2 linked regions of the Drosophila melanogaster genome follow. The protein of the gene in region 2 purifies or fractionates together with the protein of the main gene of each other region. This does not show direct contact. Each region holds a gene or a part of one and is shown on either strand. Other genes may lie near its edges.

What was found.
Region 1: the proteins of CG9344 (region 2) and SmD2 purify together in Drosophila melanogaster (affinity purification with mass spectrometry, with the first as the bait; one large-scale study listed by BioGRID). This does not show direct contact.

Annotation. Positions count from the first base shown.
Region 1 is NT_033777.3:6,344,431-6,348,117, forward strand, and holds SmD2 (small ribonucleoprotein particle protein SmD2), read right to left. Parts: upstream 1,482-3,687; 5' UTR 1,343-1,481; coding exon 1,341-1,342; intron 1,207-1,340; coding exon 849-1,206; 3' UTR 581-848; downstream 1-580. Other genes in the region: CG17919 (uncharacterized protein), read left to right, coding at 101-580; CG18048 (uncharacterized protein), read left to right, coding at 1,763-3,088.
Region 2 is NT_033778.4:20,975,247-20,978,228, reverse strand, and holds CG9344 (uncharacterized protein), read right to left. Parts: upstream 1,174-2,982; 5' UTR 1,075-1,173; coding exon 984-1,074; intron 913-983; coding exon 764-912; 3' UTR 629-763; downstream 1-628. Other genes in the region: CG15650 (uncharacterized protein), read left to right, coding at 1-30, 103-501; CG34115 (uncharacterized protein), read right to left, coding at 1,373-1,490, 1,549-1,634, 2,606-2,635.

The sequences.
Region 1 (3,687 bases), on a different chromosome or scaffold from region 2:
TGATCAAAGGTCAGAAGGTAGCTAACTTAAAGTAAAGTAGCTGATAGATCGCAACAATGTAAAAATCAAGCAAATAACTGTGAAATCGTTCCTATTCAAGGTCACGTACAGCAACAACCTGGTGGCCAAGGATGGAGTGGAGCTAACGCCCACCCAGGTTAAGGATCAGCCAGTCGTGGAGTGGGACGCGCAGCCCGGGGAGTTCTACACGCTCATTATGACGGATCCCGATGCCCCCAGCCGAGCGGAGCCCAAGTTCCGCGAGTTCAAGCACTGGATTCTGGCCAACATCGCCGGCAACGACTTGGCAAGTGGTGAGCCCATCGCCGAGTACATTGGCTCCGGCCCGCCCCAGGGCACGGGTCTGCATCGCTACGTCTTCCTGCTGTACAAGCAGTCCGGCAAACTTGAGTTCGACGAGGAGCGCGTGAGCAAGAGATCCCGCAAGGATCGCCCCAAATTCAGTGCCGCCAAGTTTGCCATCAATCACGAGTTGGGCAATCCCATTGCTGGAACTTTCTACCAAGCCCAGTACGACGACTATGTTCCAAAACTGCACAAGCAACTTTCGGAGAATTGATTCCGTTTTAATCTTAAACAGATACTTTAGGAAAAATCGATTAAAAGATGTTAATCAAAATATAAGAAATTGCGATTACGGATTGTACTTTCGTTATACAAATTTATAATGGGATATGTTACTGGGATGGGATATTTTCCGTCGTAAATTATAGCTCACACTTTTAATTAATGGCACATTTTGGTCCACAGAACTTATTTGGTTGATTTACGGATTTATTAACTGAAGTTGATGGATATTGGTTGCTGTACGCTATCGCTATGGTAGACTACTTGCCGGCCGCCGTGGCCAGGGGATTCCTTAGGACCAGGATGACAGAATCGCCTCGCAGGAACATCTTCGATATGAACCGATCCTTGTTCACGGGCTTCACCTTCTTCTTGCCCTTACCGGTCCGCGGCAGCTCCGTCCACATCTCCTTCACGTTTTCCAGTACCATGTTGCAGTGCCGATCGAAGGCCTTTACCCTGCCCAGCAGCTTCTTGTTGTTGCGGCAGTTGATGAGCACCTGGGTGTTGTTCTTCACGGACTGCGTGAGCACGGACAGCGGGCCGGTGTTAAACTCCTCCTCCTCCTGCCGCGCCAGCTCCTCCGGGGTCAGCTCCGATTTCGGTTTCACAAGAGCCCTGCAGAGAACACAGTACATTAGTATTTCACCCACAACTCGAGCGTGGTGCTAACAATGCAAAATGCCGGCGCACATGCCGCTGCCAGTTACGCCATTTCCGATGGTTTGTCCCATCTGCCCCGGGATACTTACATAGCGGATTATAACTATGGCTTGTTAAATGATGTTGATAGTCTTCTTGTTTCGCTTCTCAGTTGGTTTTCTGCGTTTATTGTTGGCAAAAGTATTCAGCGCGGCTTCGTTTTTTTTGCAGTGTTACCAGCTCTGAGGACGTTTGCACTCGACCAGCCCTGAATTTCAAAGCTAACTATCGGCGTTTGGCATTCGCGTAAATTAAATAAACTATTATTTTGAAAAATCAAGCTCAATTTGAGTTTTTTATTAAAAAACTTATTAAAATATTCAATGTAAGAAGTGTAAACATATTTAAGACCATAGTTAAAACATTTTTGTGAAAAGTTGGTAATAGTGTTATCTAGTGTGCCAGCCTTGGTCACACTGCCTGGCACGAGTTCCGAATTGGGAGGAATTTATTTTGAAAATAAAAGTAACGAATGGAACCTGTGAAAGAGACGATGACCACTGTCAAGGCGGAGAAGCCGGTAACCACCACTTGCTCCTACTGGGTGTTACGCAAAAAGCGCCGCTGCAAGATGACTGCAAACAAGGGCAGTGAGTTTTGTGGAGCCCATGCCTCATCGGCAGCCACCACTGCAACTTGCGATGAAAAAGCTAGAGAAGATTCCTTCCAGGAACGTATTCCCTGCCCGCTTGATCACAAACATACCGTGTTTAAAAGAAAACTAGCCAAACACTTGACCATTTGCAATGCCAGGGATCAGGAAAGTTCACTGCCCTACATTGTAAAAGGAGTGAATTCTGGAGACAATCTTAAGGAAACAGACGAAGATTTGAACAAATTCAATCAAATAAAACTGCACGAACTGGCGGATGAAGAGTTCTACAGTCTGATCGACAAAGTTAAGAATCTGTATGACAAGCACATCAATTCCAGCATACAGGAACTGCAGCTGGAGCACGAATCCCTAAAGGAGGAACTTAGTCGCAAGGACTACGGCCAGGAAACGCTACGCCAGCTCACCCAGACCACTAGCTTGCTGGGCATCCTGGAACACGATCACCAGTTGATGGATCACACGAGCTATATAGAATTCGGAGCCGGAAAGGGACAATTGGCCTACTTTTTGGCCACCGTATTGCAGGAACAGAAGTTGAGTCACTCACAGGTGGTCCTCATCGATCGAATGTCCCTGCGGCACAAGAAGGACAACAAGTTGGCCAACAGGGAGGTGGTGCAACGTATCCGTGCTGATATCGCTGATCTTAAGCTTTCTGCTCTGCCGGAGCTAAAGAAAACCCAACGAACGGTGGCTTTTTCGAAGCACCTCTGTGGAGCAGCTACAGACTTGACCCTGAGATGTATACTCGGTGATGGAAATGCCAGCTCGGACTACGTTCTCATCGCCCTGTGTTGTCATCATCGCTGCTCCTGGCGCTCCTACGTGGGACGCAAGTTTCTTCAGGAAGCTGGAATTGGACCACGGGAGTTCGTTATCCTAACCAAAATGGTCAGTTGGGCAGTTTGTGGCACGGGCTTAAGCCGAGAGCGGCGTAAGGCCATGGAATCGGCTGACTTTCAGCTCACCGAGACGAACACGCAGCGTCTAACTCGCCAGGAGCGCGAACAAATTGGCCAACAGTGCAAGCGGGTTCTGGATTATGGACGACTGGAGCATCTACGATCCCACGGATATCAAGCAGAACTTAAGTTCTATGTTCCCAGGGATGTGACTTTGGAAAACGTGGTTCTGCTGGCCAGACCGACCAGCCCTAAGCTGGACCAAAATAAATGCTGTTGACTTAAGTAAAATGACTTTTCTCCTTCCTTAATTCATATCCTGCTCCTGGATTTAAATTTTTCATTATTTACTAAAAACTAGTGACGATCGCACCATCGCCATAAAAATGTTCTGATGTCATCTTTTGTGACGAAAAATATTTAACTAGGAAAATGCAATGTCATATTTTTATTTCGCTTTATTAAAATATTTATTAGCTAGGAAGACATTTTTATTGAAGCGGTCCGCATAGGTAATTTTTTTTAGTTGTAGAATTAATGTTTTTTATATCGAGCTATTTTGCACAATTTAAATGGTGTCATTACCATAAAATGTTCATGCAAAATTTATATATTGTTACAAAAAAGAGTTACGGAAATGTTGACAAATGACATAGCTTATTTTGAACTTATCTTTTACTATTTATTACATTTAAATTTACCAACATGAACAATATTTTGGAGAATCGGATTATTAGAAACCTATTTGAATTTAACTAAGCGTTTGTTAAATAGTCCCATATCCTTAAAGACTTTGATGTTCTTCAACATCATTGGAATGACCCTAATTTAATCTTTCATTTACTGATGGACTAAATCGAATATAGACTAGATTAGTAA
Region 2 (2,982 bases):
TACGTATTAATTGCTGCACTGGCCGTAATGGTAAGTGGTCAATTAAAGCAACCATCCAGCCACCATAATCAGCCCATTAACATTGCCCTTGGCTGAACACAGTGCTCCTCGGTGCGAGTCCAAGCCACGCTGCACGATCTGCCCGGGGTCTTTGACTTCTCCAATGTGGATCTGGTGAACTTCCAGTACTTCAAGAACCTGGCATCGCAGGATCCGCGCACCGCCGCCACCGCCAATCCACTGCTGGTGCATTTTCAGAAGAAGAAGGCGGTGCTGGACTATCTGGACCGCCTGTTCTTCGGCAACTCTCCGTTCCAGCAGCCCAGCGAGATCCCCTTCGATCCGCATTTCGGTCGCTCCTGGCGTCCGGTCTACGAGCGAAAGTTTGGCTATCGCGGAGAGCGCCTAATCGCTGCCCTGGGATCGGGGTATTCGGTGCCACAACTGCGCCACTTTGGCGCCATTCCCCGCGAGTATGGCACACCGCACTATCCCAGTTGAGTGGGGATTGCAATTTAGCGCCTCTAGATAGTGTATTTATGGAATAAACTTAAGAAACGAAGCAACGAGGTCTAATGTATCGGGGGTATATCAAGAACTACTGGAATTGGTTTGTATACAGGATGATGAGAAGTTGGTTCAGCTTTAATATTGAAGTATGAAACACTTGTGTTGTCGCAGGTTCCCTCTGAAGGAAACAGAGGAATCAGAGTTCTCTAACTACGAACTTCATGGTGCCATGCCAGTTGAGACCCTCCTGTATTCAGACCCTCCGCTTCTGCGTGGAAATGTAGAGGACATTGTTGCCGCGGATGAAGGCGTCGCCGTACTTGTTCTTCAGCTGCCCATTCACGTACTCCTCCGTCTGCTCCAGGCAGATGTTCATGTAGCCATCCAGACAGGCCAGCACACCTGGAATTTGGTCAGTGGATTGGGAAAATTGTCAAATGTGATGAGTGTGTTTGGGAACTCATTGAACGCACCTCGATAGTCAACGCCGTTGTTCAGCTTTACGGCGACGGGGCGTCCGTGTATCTGATTGATGAACTGCGACAGGGCCTCTTTGCGGGACATTTTCAATAGATGATTTCAAAATAAATGCAGTTTACAAAACCTTTTGGCAGCAATAATAAATAACAAATGTGAATACAGTTGTTATTTTATGCCGGCAATGCTGCGGTCACACTGCAGGTTTGGTAAGGTTGCAACACAACATTTCGATGTGACCATTGCATTCGCTTCACCAAGAGCGCCATCTATTGTTCAAGTTGAGAGGAATTCAAAAACACTTTTTGGGGTAATAAAGAAAGTTTAATTTAAATAATAGAATACATAAATTACGGACTACATTGCATCTAATCGATATTTAGGACTAGTGAATGCCCTCCAAGGGCGTGTAGGTCTTGTATTGGTACAATTCCGGTCCGCCGTAGCCGTAGAGAAGTTTTCCGCGCCCGTGTTCATCGTAGTAGGGATAACGGTACTTGGGCCTGAAATATATTGTTATATAAATTCAATTTAATATAGTTTAAATTGACAATTGCATACCTTTCGAAGTACTGGAAGTTCGGTGCTTTTGGCTGCACTGTAGCAAAAGTTGTGTGCGCCACAAAGGCCACAATAAACAAAATTAGCTGGAAAGTAAAGAAAGTGGTTAATAAACATTAAATATTGGTTTGTTAAAAAGTCAATTGGGTAAAGTTAAAAATTCAATTTTTGTCATTTTTCTAAGCTCCATCTATTGGCGTGAAATTAATATTAGAAATAGTTCTCATAATGTTAGGATTCAAACTTATCGTAATTTATTTGAGTAAATTTATTTGAAGTTAAGAAGTAAATTATTATTATTAACCAAATGATTTAAAAATTTTAGATATCCAATCTAATTTTATTACGATTGCAGCAATTAAAAGCAGGGTCGTGCTGTAAGTAAAAGTACGATTTTAATTCGTTTTCTAACAAAAAACCACATCTATGTGAAAGCTAATTGAATTGGCTAAACTAGATTTAGGGGGAAGTTAGATATCACATTTATGCTCAATGGCTCACTGTGTCAGCTGCACGAAAGTGGTAATAAATGCGAGTGCGACGACGGCCAAGAAATCGCTTTCAGGCTTTTGAGTCAACTTGAAAGCAACGGTTTGTTGACGCCGGTTATGCAATTACACCAACAATAAAAGCCACGATGCGCAACTTGGCCACAACTCGTTGCCCGGAGATTATGACACATTTCGCTTGGCGTTCAATTTGGCCAAAAGAGAGCGCGGAAGAGAGCCAGATCGTGTCATTCAAGGTCTCCCCATTCCCATGGCCAGAGAGAGCCTTCGAATTTGGCCCACATATGATTCGAAAATGTGTCAATTGTCTGGCCGCCAAAAAGGAGAAACGAAAAAACTAAAAACAAATGGATTTTGAAAGAAGAACTGACGCGGGCTCATTGGAAATTCAAGTCACTATTTCCGAGCAATGCAGACGGTTTTCTTTTTGGGTGCGACTTTCGCGCAGAAAAGGCGGAAATTGTGTCAGTGGACTTGTGGGCTCCCCCCACAAGGTGTTAATTTGGCAGGTACACTCTAGAAACCAAATTTAACTATCTGAAACTTACGGGCAGCAGCAGGGCACTCAATTTAGCCATGGTTTTTTCGGATATTGTAGTGCTCAATCACTGGTGTAACGGTAAAGCTAAAGCTGCGAGCGAGCGGTACGAGGTTGTTAGCCGATCGCGTTTTGTTTGGCAACTGAATTGCATTGCCAGGCGAGCTACCAAAAGCCGCGCTCCACAAAGAGCGCGAAAAAAGCTTGGAAGAGAGCGGGAGCTTCCAAGCTTGGCTTAAAAAGTTGGGCTAAGACTTAATTAGCTATCTCTTATGATATTTGAAATGCAAGTTAAAGAAGTGCTATAACCAAGAATTTGCAAATTGAAAGATGACAAACTTAAACTAATAAATTTCCGATTATAAGAAGATACAAGATACTATACTT